2 linked regions of the Rattus norvegicus genome follow. The protein of the gene in region 2 purifies or fractionates together with the protein of the main gene of each other region. This does not show direct contact. Links are inferred from orthologs where the notes say so. Each region holds a gene or a part of one and is shown on either strand. Other genes may lie near its edges. The genes, in order: Lbr and Mad2l1bp.

Region 1 (8,969 bases), on a different chromosome or scaffold from region 2:
CCCGCTGTGGTGTCCGGGCCTCCGGAGAGCCGGCGGCCTTCAGGGGAAGAGTTAACTGCCTCTGGCCCCTGCCGAAGCACCGTCCCACCTGTCCCGGCCTCGTGAGTGCTTCTGCGCGGTGACATCGGGCCTCGCGCCTCCAGCGGCTTCGAGGGCCACTCGCTGCGCACTGGGGTGTGGAGGGCCTGCTCCGGGGCACTTCGGCGACGGTGGGCTGGCCTGGCGGTACGCCCGGTGTGTGTAGCGCACTTGGTGTGCTAGGGCCGGGGCTCAGGTGCACAAGTAGGAGTAGGTCTGGGGCTACAAAATAGCAGCTGCTCGGAGGGAGAAGGTGGGGCTGTAGAGAAGCGGGGATGGAGGACCTAGAACGGACAGAGAGGGTGATGATGAGTACGGTTTGCTTAGTTTCGGAGCATTGACTGGGGGAGTTGGGGCGCGAGTTAGGACTGTAACGGTAAGCGTGCCTTTGGGAATTAAGGGAAAAGACCATTCTGCCTGTATAGCCAGCTTTCTCTTGCATGGCTCTGAAGGGACACAGACCCAGGGGAACGCCTTCCTCTTTGCATTTTGCCTAGCAGGCCTGTGCCGGCTCAGGTGTTTAAGGGTAGCTCTTAGATATCATTTGAGCTTTCTCTTTCTGCCACATTGAGTTTGGGGAAGCGATTACAGACCCTTGCATGGCTCGTGAGCAAAGTAGTAGAAAGAAATCTTCATATTGATACATAGCGATATATTGTACCATACTATTTGGAGTCCAGTGCCAAGTGACATTCGGGTTAGCAAGAATCTGGCTTAACAGAAAAAAAAAAAAAAAAAAAAAAAAAGCCGGGGAATCCTTGAATTCCTGCTATGTGTGGTTGAGGGTACAGTGTTTAGTAAGCAACTTTTCTTTGCAAACACCTGTTTAGGGAAGCCTGTGTGCGCCTCTTGGCTTGTTACTTGGGTGCGTAAGAACACATGCGCACGTCTGGAGCCCCCTTGTCTTATCCAGTATAATTATTTCCTGCTGTGCTGTATTTTGGGATGCTGTTACTTCCATAGCTTCCACTGACTATGTGGATCTTGTGCAAAGTGGCATTCTCCACCTGCCATGTAAAATATTACCATCAAGTGTCAGTTCTTGTTTTTTTTTTTTTTGTTTTGAGACAAGATCTCTGCACAGCACTTATTGTCCTGGAACACAGTAGACTATGCAGACCTTCAACTCAAAGAGATCTCTTCCTCTGCCTTGTGAATAGTGGGATTAAAGCCGCCAGGCCCAGCCAAGTCCCGGTTCTTAATTATTCCTTCCCTTTTTTTTTTCTGGGGATCAAATTTCATATCTTACACATTATACACACATTTTTGAAAAGTTGAGGCTCAAATATCTACTGGGTGCCTCGATTTATGTATTCCCAAGTATTTAATAGGTAAATAGGTAATAGGTTTTGTGTGTGTGTGTGTGTGTGTGTGTGTGTGTGTGTGTGATCCTTGTTGGACTCAGTAGTTAATGTGGTGTCTTCGAGATGCAATAGATAAGTGAGACTAGGGCCATACCATCTTAATCTTCTAGATTGCATCATATCTCTGAAGCTAAACAGGAGAGGGCCTGGACCGTACTGGATGGGATGAATGACAGTGATTGGATGCTTCAGATGGTTCAGAATAAGTCTGTTCCAGGGCCTTTTAAAGATGCAGGTGGTCCCCAAACCCCAAAGTGCTCATATTTCAAGTTTCGAGGCTTTGTTTGAGATCCTGCTGGCATCTTCATATAGAAAGACATTGTGGTCTTTTCTCCAACTTTGGAAGACCTGGGTAGGAGAACCTAATTGATTTGGGGTGGTCTGGGGCGGAAGAGGGGCGGGGAATCAGAGAAGGAAGCCCAGCACGTTTCCTTCCTCTTTGTCCTGGGCAACTTGGAACTAAGTGTTGAAATAGACAGAGCTTTCTGTTGTCACCTTCCTTTTTTGCGCCCCTCCTCGTACAGATGTGGGCCACTGCCCTTCTGCTGCCCAAGGTCCTCATGTACACCTCTGCCAGTCTAACTTCATTCCTAAAGCTTCCAAACATACTCATTACCCAAGAGATGCTATCTCACAAGTTAGGGAGACTGAGGCAGGCTCTGTAATGGACCTCTCATCACCAGATAAACACTTTCTTTCATCTGTTGTCTGTCTAAACAAGTGAAGCTTGTGAAGTCTCAGGCGATTAACAGTGAAGAAACGCGTTTAGAAAGACTTGGCTTGGGAGGGGTAGGTAATGCAACTTTCTCTTTAATTCCAGTCTGCAAGAGTCTTTCGTGTTCCTGTTGGGTTGCATAACCAGGTCTTGGCAGGAGTGTGTCTTGCGTGCATGGGTGATGTATAGAGACCTGCTTGGCAGGTGGCATCTTTAGCTGAAGGAGTCTTTCTGTCTGCTGCTTGCTTATCACTGGTGTCAGTCCACTGGCTTTATCTATCCTGTGAATCTGCTAATCACCTGGGAGCTCTTAGCACAGCCATCATTTTGTATTACCTCATGTAGATGATCATTCTTGAAAATAGTGGTTTCTTGAGGTGTTGAAGGTTTCATGTTTTCAAACAGTGGCAAAGAATGTTGCAGTTGGGGTAGGTGTCAGCTGTAGGCTTGAGAGGTGCACAGGTTAGCTCAGAGCTTAGGTGGGTAGCTGGCAGCCTTAACTGGTATGCACTTGGGAGTTGACTCAGAGTGCAAACTGTATGAGGTAAACCTCAAATATGTTATTCTTTATAGATTTGAAGCTCTTCCTGTTGGTGGGTTATAGTAATGCTAATGTGCATTTTTAATTTTTCCAGTTTGTTTCATAGTTTTATTATTTTCCAGTAAGGTAGCTTGCTAAAAATATAATCTAATGATTTTTAAAGCTTTTGGTGAAATAACATGTAGATCTACAAATAAAAATGTGTCCTTTTGGGGTTGGGGATTTAGCTCAGTGGTAGAGCGCTTGCCTAGGAAGCACAAGGCCCTGGGTTTGGTCCCCAGCTCCGAGAAAAAGAACCAAAAACAAAATGTGTCCTTTTTGAGATGTGCCCTGAGTTTTGGTTATCGTAGGTGGGTAGCATTCTAAGTCGTAAGGTTTGATGCTTGTGACCTTGTCAGAGTTAATCCTCAGTGCCATTTTCTGTGCTCCAGTGTCTCCTCCAAAGTGGTTCCGAATGGAGTGAAACGGAGCTCACGTGGGATTTGTGTTGCTCTGTTACTCCCTCACGTGTGCTTGTGAGCTTTGACAAGCATTACCTCAAGCTCAGGTTCTGCCAGCTATAAACTAAGGTGCCGCGCTTCTTCCTTGGCTTCCTGGCCCTCAAAGTAAAACCAACTAGAAAGTTGTTTCAGTGACCAGCAGTGAACAATCTAGTCCAGAAAAGTAAGTAATAATTATTGACTGAATTTTTTTCTTTAAAATCGTTCAGACTGATTTTGAAAAATGCCAAGTCGGAAGTTTGCTGAGGGCGAAGTGGTCAGAGGCCGGTGGCCTGGGAGCTCCCTGTATTATGAGGTAGAGATTCTGAGCCATGACAACAAGTCCCAGGTCTACACCGTAAAATACAAAGATGGCACCGAGCTGGAGCTGAAGGAGAGTGACATCAAGGTGAGTGTGTCTGCCTTGGTCTTGCAGTGAGTGGGAAGAACTGGAGGCCCATGCTAGATTCCTGCCTTGAGGCTCTGGGGCACATGCTGTTCTTGGTTCTGGGATTATGCGAATGTGTGTGGGCACAGATCCCCAAAGCTCATGCCATTGGGTCTGATCATCCTGTGAGGTGTTTGCTGTGGGTGTGTTAGACCCGGAAGGACCCTGGTTTTTATGGACTTTTGTTTTTTTTTTAAAGATTTTTTATTTATTTTAAGCTATTTATTTAAGCTATTTTAAGCTATGTGAGTACACTGTCACTGTCTTCAGACACACCAGAAGAGGCCATCAGATGTCATTATAGATGGTTGTGAGCTACCATGTGGTTGCTGGGAATTGAACTCAGGATCTCTGGAAGAGCAGTCAGTGCTCTTAACCGCTGAGCCATCTCTCCAGCCCTTTTAGGGATGGTTTTTAGCCCTGTTTTCTCTGGGCTGAGTGCTAGGACAGATGGCAAACCATAGGGCTGGCACCATACCAAAGGCTGTGGGGTGATGCTGGCAGGGCGAAGTACCAGCTGGAGACAAGCTGGGGGGTGGTGTAGGGTTAATAGGCTTGAGTTTCTTCCTCCTCTTCCTCTTCCTCCTCCTCCTCCTCTTCCTCTTCCTCCTCCTCTTCCTCTTCCTCTTCCTCTTCCTCCTCCCCTTCCTCTTCCTCTCCCCCCTCCTTCTGTCTCCCCTCCCCTTTTTCAAGACAAGTTTCCTGTGTGTAGCTCTGGTGTCCTGGAGCTCACTCTGTAGACCAGGCTGGCCTCACACTCAAGAGATCAGCCTGCCTCTGCCTCCCCAGTGCTGGGATCAAAGGCGAGCGCCATCGCCTGGCAGGACATGGGTTTCTACTTAACACTGGTGATGGAATCAGAGGGAGTGACACTAGGTCTGAGGCCAGCTCACAGCTTCTCCTTCCCAGCCTGTCTGTTGATGGCATGGGTTTTAGAAGATTGACCTATGGTATACAAATACATAAAATGCATAAAAATTAGTTTCTATGATAAAGGATAAGCAAAGCTGCAATGTTTGTTAGATTCTCTAGGTATAAAATTGCTTAGTCAGAATGCTCTAAAACCGTCTACTTAGAGCTTAGCAGTTTTGGACCTTGCAGCCCATCATCAACCAATAGTTTGGACCCATGCATGGTCTGCGGATGAGCACTCTGTGTTCTAGTTTTAGCTTTAGACTTTGTGGCTCATGGGGTTCTGTAGTTGAGGGGGCAGCTCCAGCCATATGGAATATGACTTCTCTCTTGATGTTTTTAGCGGTCACTTGAGAGTGTCAATGCCATCCTTAGCTGAGGGCCACATACACAAAACAGTGCCTGGACAGAGGTCCAGGGGTTTACCTGACTCAGGTCTCTGCCCCTGGAAACAAGGAAGGAATGGTTTGCAGTGGATTAGGGCAGAGTAGCCACTGACCAAGGAATTTATTTTTTATTTTATTTATTTATTTTTTTTCCAGAGCTGGGGACCGAACCCAGGGCCTTGCGCTTCCTAGGCAAGCGCTCTACCACTGAGTTAAATCCCCAACCTCTTAACTTGTCTGTTTTTAAGAGCTCCAGTTTGTTTCAGAGTGACTCTGTAGGGCTGCTTTTTGAAAAATTGGTTGGGTGCTAACTATCTTGTCTCACCATGTCAGTTTTGGACAGTATCAGTTCCAAGCCTTTCTGGTGTTGCTGGTGTTCTGATAATGTGTGTGATGTAGTCACTGATTCCAGGGAAGTACCTTTGAAGTTGGCAGAGCAGGGGAAGGAAGCGCTGTCTTTCCTAGGAGCCCGGCTGCTGTAGCATTCCACTGGTCCTGTGTGCTCCGTTCTCAGTTTAGAGTGCATGGCAACAGATAGTGGCCCTGACTGACAGCTCAGCGCTGCCGCTGGACATTAGTGTTCTGATAACATCTCTGTGGCCTTTTCCCTTTCTAGCCTTTAAAGTCCTTTAAGCAGAGAAAGAGTGGCTCAACTTCCAGCTCTCCTTCAAGACGCCGCAGCAGCCGCAGCCGCTCCCGATCACGCTCCCGATCCCCGGGCCGGGCACCCAAAGGTTCCAGAAGATCAGTCTCTGCTTCCTACCAGGCTGACGCTAAGGAAAAGGAAATGAGGAGGGAGATTTTGCAAGTTAAATTGACTCCGCTCGTGCTGGTACTTGTTCCATCTGTCCGCCCCGCACTGGCTTCCCTTTATACACATTTATTCGTATTATTTGCACTTTTGTTAGCAAGTATTTGAAATACAAAGTATAGTTTCTTTGAATATCCAAGAAAAATTGTTTATCTTTAATTTTTATTTTTAGTGTGTATACGTTTGGTATGTGTGTAGCCACACCTGTGCAGGTGAGAGGACAGTTTTATGGAGTGTGTTCTCTCTTTCCACTCATGTGCGTTCAAGGGATTGAACTCAGATCATTAGGCTTGAAGGCAAGCATTTCGACCTGAAGCTACCTTAGCTGCTTCAGTGATGTGACCAGGAGCCCTGATAGTGTGTGTGGTCTTTAAAAGATGCTTACATTGAAACAGATGTAGCTTGTAGGCTATGAAGTGAGGAGACACCTACTCTGTTAGACATTCTTGCTCTCTCAGTTGGCAGCCTTCTGCTTGGTCACGTTCACTCTTTAAAAATCTTTCCCGTGGAATGACTTTGGTGGTCCATGCAGACGTGGGTGGAGCCAGGGGACCTAGCCAAAAAGTATTTCATCTTATGTAGTATTATAGTTTTTTTACTTTCTTTTTCTTTCTTTTTTCTTTTCTAAGACTGGGTAGCCTAGGCTGGCCAAGAACTTGATAAAAATCCCCCTGTCTCCATTTGTTCAGTTCTGAGATCATAGGGTAAGCTACCACAGTTGATGGATAAATTTTTTTTTTTTTCTTTTTTTCGGAGCTGGGGACCGAACCCAGGGCCTTGCGCTTGCTAGGCAAGCGCTCTACCGCTGAGCTAAATCCCCAACCCCTGGATAAATATTTTAATCATTTGTTCTCAACCTTCCTAATGCTGTGCCCCTTTACAGTAACTCCTCATGTTGTGGTGACCCCACCATAAAATTATTTTGTTGCTACTTCATAACTCTGATTTTGCTATTATGATTCTTAATGTAAGTATTTTGGGGGATAGAAGTTTGCCAAAGGTGTTGTGACCCACAAGTTGAGAGCCCCTGTTTTAGACACTAGCTAGAGCGAAGTAAAAAGAATGCTTTTTTTTTTTTTTTTTGGTTCTTTTTTTTCCGGAGCTGGGGACCGAACCCAGGGCCTTGCGCTTCCTAGGCAAGCGCTCTACCACTGAGCTAAATCCCCAACCCCAAAAAGAATGCTTTTGTATTCTACTCATTTAATGCCATCTCTTCTGGAGACAGAGCACCCGGGCTTCTAATAATCTTAAAAACTAAACGGTGAGTAATGCACTTAGACTTTGAAATGTTAAAATAGTGAGAATAACGTGCCATGTGGTAGTTTCCTCTTTCTGTTGTTACACAGTAAACCTCAAGACACATACATACCTTAGTATTAAAGTTAGTTCTGTGGTGCAACCTTGTGTTTTTCCCTCTCGGTGTTCACTGTTCTAAACGCTTTCTGCAGCATCTCGTCATCTCCTTAGACTTAGCTTGGTCAAGGTGGACAGTGCACAACAGAGGCTTGTAATACGTGTGCTGGACTGGGTGAGCATGCTTGTGCCACCATCAGTACCGTGTGGAATGCTTGCTTTCCATCTGAGGACTGTAACAGCCCCCCCCCCCCCCCCACCGGTTGTCAGAGATTGTCACCTTCTTTTTCAGACTTTGTGCTTCCTTATATGATGGACTTGCTGTTTCTTTGAGTGGCTCTCTACCACGTGGGGGAGGGGCAGATGCTGCTCACTGCTTTCCGTTTCAGCTTCCATCTTCACACTGCCCTTTTATTGATAGAAGAGCTTCGGGTGGCCTTGCCCCTGTCGTCAGAGTCTAACCTGCATGGTGTGTCCAGTTCACATTTAGGCTGCCTCAGCTGTGGACATCACGTGTGAGCTCAGTAATGCACCTCACAGTGTTGAGTGCTCTCTCCTCCTCCTCTGTCCACTCGGGAAGCATTGGCACGTAGTCAGCGTGGGTTAGAGTGAGCTGACTGCTGGCTCACTCCCTGACACTGGGTACACTCCGGCGTATAGCGGGCGCTCTGCTGCTCGCCTGACCTTGAACCCAGTGTGAGCTAATGCTGCCATTGTCGGCTGGTCTGAAGGATGGACTTCTGGAAGCTGAAGCTGGACTTTTGTTTGCTTCTTGACTCAGTAGTGCTTTAGTTGGTTGACAGTCTCTACAGAGGAGAGAAGAGACTGTTGCAGCCATCGCCTTAACAAGCTCTAGCAAGCTAAATTGATTCTCTTTTCTCAGTAAGAAACTATGAGGCTGAGCCGAGAGGGACAGCTAGGGAGGAAAATAATTAAGGGTAAACAACATGTAGCATGAAATGCAAACAGCCAGTCTTCCCACCGTGGGCTGGTTAGGGTCGCTGAAAGTCTTTTCTTCATTTTAATTTGTAGCTAGTGAACGAATTTGCCAAGTTTTACTCACCTGCCTTTCATAGAAATGTTACAGTATGACAGTGAAATTATGGAAACATTAAGTGTGAAAGTGTTTGAAAGAAGGACAGTTAATATAGAAGCCTGTTCCAAAACATAGTGTTGCATAGCTGTAATCCCAGTGCTCAGACAGGGGTTGAGACTGGAGGATTGCCACAAGTTTGAGGCACTGACCTTTTGAGGACCAGGGAGGTCTAGGTGACTTTGTCTCTTGGTTTTTAGCTTGTGTCTGCTGCTTTCCCAGTCGTACCTTGTTATCGTTGCGATGCCTTGCTGGGTCAGGTCTGATTATGTCGGTTCACATTCCATTTAGAAGCCGTTTGCAAACAGCGTCAGTGTGTACAACGGGGAGCCCGAACACATGGAAAAGAGCGCCACACCTCCTAAAAACAAGCAGGTACCCGTACCCTTTGCTTTGTGTCCTTCCGTCAGACTCCACTGGAATTTGTTGTATTTTACTTGTTCATCTTCTGTCTTTAAGACCGTATGTGATTTAACATCTATTCTTTTTTAAACTTCCTAAGATTTATTATATATAAGTACACTGTCGCTGTCTTCAGACACACAGAAGAGGGCATCAGATCCCATTACAGATAGTTGTGAGCCACCATGTGGTTGCTGGGCAAACTCAGGACCTCTGGAAGAGCAGTCAGTGCTCTTGACCACTGAGCCATCTCCCCAGCCTTTAACATTTATTCTTATACATTCTCAGCTCTGTAGAGATGTTGAGTTAGTAGCCTTTGCACTAAATATAGATATTGAATACTGTTTTTTTTTTTAAACTAGGAAAGAGTCATTTTGTCAACAGAAG
Region 2 (7,495 bases):
TTAGGAAGTCCTGTCATGACCTTGATTCTGTTTATCTACTCCCACCTTAATGATTCAGGAAGGCCTCGAACTCAGAAATCTGCCTGCCTCTGCCTCCTCCTGAGTGCTGGGATTAAAGGTGTGCACCACCACTGCCCATCTAAAAACCTTAACTCTTTTTTTTTTCTTTTTTCTTTTTTTTTTTTTCGGAGCTGGGGACCGAACCCAGGGCCTTGTGCTTGCTAGGCAAGCGCTCTACCACTGAGCTAAATCCCCAGCCCCCTTAACTCTTTATAGTATTGTAAGGGTCCATGATTCGCCGAAGAATTATACCCTGGCCTCAAATAGTATGTAAACACAAAGTGGGTTTTTTTCTGCTGGGGTCTCCCATTACCGAGATAGAAAGACCCGAAGGGAGCTCACAGGTGGATTTAAAGCATCTTAGGGGAATTCCGGGGAGGGGTAAGTGACCTCTATCTCGCTCACTTAATCTCAGCTCTATCTCTAAGGACATTCCTGAACCATTGCTGGGGCTGGGGCTGGGGTCTGGGGGTCTGGAAACTATTGCTGGGGAAGTGTGGAACCTGTTGCTAAGAAGTCTGGAAACTGCTGCTGACTAGGTGGCCGGGCAGCTTCTGATGGCAGGGCAATTTTGACCAGCTGCCTTAAGTCGGGGATTTTTTTTCCCCCTAGTAATTGACTTGCTTGAACCTGCCCGGTTCTTAGGCATACTCTCCTGAACTGCCTATTTGAATTCTCCCACGGAGTCAGCCTAGCATTCTCAGTATAAACTTCTTTGAGTCTTTGAAAAGAGAGTGTATCTCTCAAGATCTCACTAGGATTATCCTTTTTACCCAGTCACAGTACATACATTCCGGAAACCACCCTTTCGGGCACCTAACCCCGCCCTACCCGCTTTGGATCAGGTGCCCCAGGCCAGGCATGAACCTCTTAAGAACAGGGCTGGAGAGTGGCTTGACAGCGGCTGCGTCTCCAGCACCTAGGACAGGGCCCTGGAATGAAGCAGACGCCGGGAGAGTGAGGTGTTCAGGGAACTGGAGTGAATGGATGCGTCCTTAGAAAGGCAGACCCAGCCCTAGAGGGATGAGCCAAGCGCTCCCTGGCCTGGGTGTGGCTCAAGTCTTCTCAGTCCAAGCTTCACCATTCAGCGGCCGTGCTGAGTCCCTTCCGGCTGCTAGGAGCCGGAAGTGGAGTTTAAGCTTCCCATGATCCTTTGCGCGGCGTCTATTTTAACTGCAGGACTACTAAGCTGGCAGTCACGATGGCCGCATCCGGGCAGGAGGATCGGTCGGAGCTGTCCCCTGCTGCTGCCCCAAGTAAGACGTGGGATCCATTACTTGGGAGCTCGCTTCTTCCCTGCTGCTACCTCCCCAGAGACATTTAGTGGTTGACATTTCCTCCGGCGTTCCTTCCTATCCCAGTGGTTCCCGGTGTCCCAGTCCTCCCTGTCTCTGCGAGTTGCCCTGGGTGGAATTTTTCTTCTGTTCTGTTCCTTTGGGTGTCCTGGCCCCAACTCGGAGCAAAGCCTCCCTAAAGTCCCTCTTCTGGCCCTGATGTCATTTAAATCGCCCCCAGCCCGGATCAGGTTTCCTGTCACTTATGGGAGTGTCTGCTGACTGAGCCCCTGGGAACAAGAAACCTAACGCTTATTGTGACATCGCCCCTCCTTTCTTTACCTTTTTCATTTATGGACTAGATTTGGATTGGACTGAGAAACCGGAAGAAACTCGTGCACCCGGGGTAGATCTTGAGACCGTCATCCCGCCAGTCCAGGAACCTTCCAATTCTGTGGAGCCCTTTTGCCCAAGAGACCTGGTACCGGTGGTGTTTCCTGGACCCGTGAGCCAGGAAGGCTGCTGCCAGTTCACTTGTGAACTTCTAAAGCATATCATGTACCAACGCCAACAGCTCCCTTTGCCCTATGAACAGCTGAAGCACTTCTACCAGAAATCTTCTCCCCAGGTATGTACAGGCTTCCTGAGAAAATTCGGAAGACTTATGGGCCCTTAGATGGTGGGCAACTAGAAAAGTGACCTAAGACGTCTCAGCCTCCGTGGAAGTCTAGGCTTTTGCAAAGGCTTCCTTGCCTCATTTTCTCTGCACTTGGGTCTCTGGGTCTCTCACTTTTTTCGCTTGTTCTTTTTCTTTTTTCTTTTTTTTTTTTCCGGAGCTGGGGACCGAACCCAGGGCCTTGCGCTTCCTAGGCAAGCGCTCTACCACTGAGCTAAATCCCCAACCCCTCTTGTTCTTTTTCTGAGATTCTTCCTATTATGTGGTGTATACGGATATTATGGATTTGTTCTTTAATTTTTTATCGGGAATAGGATTTCACTATGTAGTTTAGGCTGGTCTCTGAAACCTGGCTACCTCAACTTCCCCAGTGACTTCTGAGGTCACAAGTGTGCTTCACCACATCTGGCCTTTCCTTAGACTAGATGGTCTCCGTCTGCCTCTTTTTGTCTCTCTTTCCCTCTCTCCCAACCTCCCTCCTTTTTTCCCTCTCCCTGTCCCTCTCCATATCTCCACCTCCTTCCCTCTAGCTTCTCCCTCTCCCCTCCCTTCTCCAAGGCCTCTCACATGCTACAATGCTATGTTACTGAGCTACATCCCCAGACCTGAACCAGCTCTTTACATTTGAAGTTCTTTTTCTTACCACATTTTACCTCTCTTTCTGGTTTTGTTTTAGTGTGTTTTGGAAGAATTTCTAGGTTTCAGATTCTAATGATTTTCTTCATCTTCTCTTTCTTTCCTTCCTCCTCCTCCTCTCCTTTCTTCTTCTCTTCTCCCCCTCCCCTCCCCTTCCCTCCCCCTCCCCTCCCCCTCCCATCTCCTCTCCCATCTCCTCTCCCCCTCCCATCTCCTCTCCCCCTCCCATCTCCTCTCCCCCTCCCCTCCCCCTCCCCTCCCTTTCGCTCTCCTCTCCTTCTTCTATTAAGACAGGGTTTTTTTGTGTTACCTTCATTGTCCTGGAGCTCACTCTATATAAACCAGGCTGGCCTCAAACTCAGAGACAGATCGACCTGCCTCTGCCTCCCGCGTGCATGAGCCATCTCCTGGTCCGATTAGCTTGTGATTTTCAGTATTCCTCCCACCTCAGCCCTGGGGCTGGGATTATAGCTATCATGCCCTTCAGGACCATGAAATTCTATTTTTTTTTTTTTTTTTAAGGATCCTTCCCACTTTCCTCTTGCTCCTCCAAGTGTCTCCTACAAGCCTTTTCCTTTGTGTCTTTCGGCTTTCGTGGTTGGTTGTTTTATGTTGGAATGTTTTACTATCTGGTAAATAGAATAAACTGTTGTCTGATGCCTGAGCCTTATAAGGTAATTATACCATAAGGAGATCTCCTTGGAGAACTCACCGAGGGCCAGGTGTGGTGCTCTAACCCCAGCAGTCGAGAGAGAGGCAGGCAGACAGACCTCTCTCTGAGTTCTAGACCATCCTGGTCTTCACTGGCAGTTCCAGGACAGCTGAGGTACACAGGGAGACCCTGTCTTAACAAGGGAGAGAGAGAGAGAGAGAGAGAGAGAGAGAGAGAGAGAGAAACTGTCCCTTGAGAATTCCTCACACAGGTTTGTGTTCAGTACTGCCCCTATGCCTTCTGCAGTGTCTCTACTGCCTAGGGTTCTGCAGTGTGGACTCTTCTCAAGCTTCTTGCCTTCTGGCCTATATCCTGTATTATTTCCTCCTTCCCTTACTGAATTTCTGTACACAGTATTTTAGGAGGGAGCAGGTACTAGTAACTGTGTGTAATTGAGTGAGTGGGTTTGTGCATTCGTGGGTGCGTGCATTCATGGGTGCGTGCATTTGTGGGTGCAGGGGTGGTGATGGTGCTAGGTACTGTTTTCCACCTCATTGCCTGAGACAGGGTCTCACTGAATCAGAAGCTCAACACTTAGGCTGGCTGGCCCACAAGCTCTCGGGATGTCTCCGCCACACAGTGCTGGATGTGACTGGGTCTTGAGGATTTAAACTCAGATCTTTGTGTTTGCAGAACAAATGCTTTTACTGAACCATCTCTCCAGACTTTTTTTTTTTTTTTTGGAGTGAGGACCGAACCCAGGGCCTTGCGCTTGCTAGGCAAGTGCTCTACCACTGAGCTAAATCCCCAACCACATCTCACCAGACTTAATAACCATGTGGTGTAATCGTCATGTTCAGTTATTAAACCAAAAAATTCTTTTACACTCCCAGTACAACAACAACAACAACAAAATTGCTTCTTCGTTTTATTGCTTTGTGAGTGCATGCGCACACCCATGCATACACACAAACGTTTGCGTATATGTGCCACAGTATGCACGTGGTGGTCAAAGGATAATTTTGTGGAGTCATTTTTTTCCTGTCTTTACTTGAGTTCTGGGGATCAGATTCAGGTTGCCAGGCTTGTGCCGCAAGCCCCTAAATTTGCTGAGCCCTCTCACTGCCCTCTGACTAGTCTCTTATATTTTAGTGGTCTCCAGCTTTCAATACTGTCTTTGCTAGTCAAAGGCTTAGGAGGATCATAGTTTGTACAGTGGTTATTAGATTTTCCTTAACTTAATGCTGTCTCAGGAAATCCAAATCAGCAGTTCGATTGGTCAGTTTTTCTGCACATATCCATGACGTTCCTTCAAAGGCCACCCACTCCTGTCTACCATGTTCTTTGGGTCCATCATTCTCTGTCTTTACAGGCAGAGGACACAGCAAGGAAGAAACCTCGGCTCACCACTGAGGCGAGTAACAGGAAGTGTCAGCAGGCTCTGGCGGAACTGGAGAGTGTCCTCAGTCACCTACGAGACTTCTTTGCCCGAACACTAGTGCCACAAGTGTTGATCCTTCTTGGAGGCAATGCCCTCAGCCCCAAAGAATTCTATGAACTCGACCTGTCCAGGCTGGCCCCGTTCAGTGTGGACCAGGGCCTGAACACAGCAGCGTGCTTGCGTCATCTCTTCAGAGCCATCTTCTTGGCGGATGCATTTAGTGAGCTGCAGGCTCCCCCACTCATGGGTACCATTGTCATGGTACAGGGCCACCGTGACTGTGGAGAAGATTGGTTTCGACCCAAATTAAACTACCGGGTGCCCAGCCGGGGTCACAAACTCACCGTGACACTGTCCTGTGGTAGACCTTCCGTCCCAGCCATGGCTTCCGAGGATTACATTTGGTTCCAGGCACCAGTGACACTTAAAGGTTTCCATGAGTGAATGTATAAGGACATTGGCTGAATCCTCTCCCCATCTCGTGCCAAGGCACTGATCTCTCCGCTGAGGGAGGAAAGCTCTTTCCTGGCTGTGTGCCTCTCCCCAGATTTCCTGGTGTGTGGTTCTGACTGTGAGAATCGTCATCAAGCAAAGCCCTCGAATTGATGATTGACTCCCAGAAGCCCCTGTGCCAGGTGGTTCTGTTTGGGAGTAGAAAGCAAGGCTGTGTGGGTAGATCCTCTAATGGACGTGGTCTTTCTCCGCTTTATGCTGTGCGTTTTCAGAACTGGTGCCAGAATCATAATATGGATGTGACTCATGAATTTGAATGATGAGATGAATAGATCAGTATTAAAATTTTTTAACGCTTTTGATTTAGACTTTTGGCCTTGAGGCTCAAAGATTGTTGCTGCTGCTGCTGCTGTCTTGCTTTTTTTTGAGGCCTCTTGCGTAGGAGAGGTTAACCTTGACCCTCTGCTTCTCTTTCCTCTACTTCCTGAATGCTGGGGTCCTTGGCATAAGCTTCCTACCTGGTTTACTTGGTCCTGGAATTGGAATCCAGACTTTCTGTATGTTCAAAGCAGAGGTCACTTTTGCTGCAGGTAAAAATTCTGTTAAAGGACCACTCACTGGGAGGGCTCAGGGTCTTGGAGAACTGCCTGCTCGGTGGTAGACTCTAAGCAGCAGGTATGTGGGGAGGAGCAGTGGTGGTAGCTCACAGGAAGCCAGCCTGGAGTCACAAGCCCTCTACCTTGGCCAAAGATGGTTCTAGCTCAGAGAGCAGGAGCCACAGCCCTACTCAAAACGTGGTGAGCAGGAGTCCTAACCATTGTGGTCAGTCAGGACCAAATGCTGTGGCCATATCCAGGCTCTAAAGTCACCATTGATTGGCTTAGCGTGTGCCACACTCCCAGCACCAGAAGCCGAGGCCTGCAAGGCCCTGCAAGGCCCTGTAGCCTCTGCTAGCTGTTGTGAAGTCTCAGTGGTTCTGTGATCAATTCTGCTCTTCGGATCTGAGAAACAAATCTCAGAGGACAAGGAGTTTGCGGAAAAAAAGAAAACTAAGAGGCTCTTCTCAAAGCCAGATGGAACTGTGGGCTCAGGCTCCTCAGATCACCCCCAGATCCTGAGGACTTCCTTGCTGTGTCCCGTTCCTCCTGGAATTTTTGTCCAACCTCTCTCCACTGCCTGATGGCACCTGACATTACTCTTGAAGGCAGCTCCTGGCAACAAATTGAGACCAAAACCCCACCCTGCTGAGGGAGCCGCTGGCTTAAAGTCCGTAGGGTATATGCAAGGTTGTTAGAGTGAGATGTCTGAAATGGTTGAAACACTGTAACACATACGTAGACTAACTAGGTTTTATTTTGTTTCTTAAAATTCTTCTGGAGACAGTTTCCTGTTACTTGGCTATGTAGCATTGAATGACTCCTGATCCTCTGCCTCTGCTAGACTTGCAGGCTATGAGGCCAAGTTTTTACTTTGTTTCTTTCAAATGTTTTAGAAGCTGCAAGACCACTCCTGGGGGTTGGGAAGCCTGTGGCAGGTCCCCCTCATGGCTGTTATTTAGGGTCAGTGATTGCCTGAGTGAGGATTATTTCACCTCCCTTTTAAAACCAGTTTACTATTTCTCCTGAGAATATCTTTTGTTCTGAAAAATTCATATATGCATATAATGTATTTTGATCATATTCATCCCAGACTCCCACGACTACTCCCCCGCCCGCCCCCATGACCCTTCCCACCTTCAAGTCCTTTCAGAGTGTACAGGCATCCTTGTATCTCAAGTCTACGTACTTTAGCTCATCCCTCTGCAATGCCCACGATGGAGGCTATTTCTACAACCCATTTTTTGTGACACCAGGCTGGTCTCTTGTATATCTGCTCCCGTGCTCCCTGTACCTATAATACTGTGTGAAGTACTAAACAAGGCTGGGTGGGCTAGTGCATGCCTTTAATCCTAGCACTTTGGAGGCAGACAGGCGGATCTCTGTGAGTTCAAGGCCAGCTTAGTTCACAGTAAGGACAGCCAGGACTACATAGAAACCCTGCCTCAAAAAAAGGCACTCATACACATTATTTAAGGCTAACATATATGTATATATTACTACCCCATTATAAAGGTAAGGCTTGGTGAGGTTGGTTTGCTTACGTTGGAAGTTCTTGTGGGTCAAACAACCCTTTCACAGGGGTCCCCTAAGGCTAAGTGTGTAAAGCACATTTACGTTATGATTCATAACAGTAGCAAAACTACAGTTGTGAAGTAGCAATGGAGTAATTTTATGGTTGGGGGTCACCACTCCATGAGGAACTGC

Evidence for each region.
Region 1: the proteins of Mad2l1bp (region 2) and Lbr purify together in Homo sapiens (co-immunoprecipitation; 3 studies listed by BioGRID and IntAct, counting the BioPlex papers as one, with this or other methods). This does not show direct contact. The link is inferred for Rattus norvegicus from reciprocal best matches to the Homo sapiens genes MAD2L1BP and LBR.

The regions. Positions count from the first base shown.
Region 1 is NC_086031.1:96,086,463-96,095,431, reverse strand, and holds part of Lbr (delta(14)-sterol reductase LBR), read left to right. Parts: exon of another isoform or gene 1-234; intron 235-3,407; 5' UTR 3,408-3,421; coding exon 3,422-3,586; intron 3,587-5,539; coding exon 5,540-5,755; intron 5,756-8,471; coding exon 8,472-8,555; intron 8,556-8,944; coding exon 8,945-8,969. UniProt on the Homo sapiens protein: Catalyzes the reduction of the C14-unsaturated bond of lanosterol, as part of the metabolic pathway leading to cholesterol biosynthesis.
Region 2 is NC_086027.1:22,328,444-22,335,938, forward strand, and holds Mad2l1bp (MAD2L1-binding protein), read left to right. Parts: upstream 1-1,255; 5' UTR 1,256-1,261; coding exon 1,262-1,316; intron 1,317-1,696; coding exon 1,697-1,962; intron 1,963-4,670; coding exon 4,671-5,183; 3' UTR 5,184-5,581; downstream 5,582-7,495. UniProt on the Homo sapiens protein: May function to silence the spindle checkpoint and allow mitosis to proceed through anaphase by binding MAD2L1 after it has become dissociated from the MAD2L1-CDC20 complex.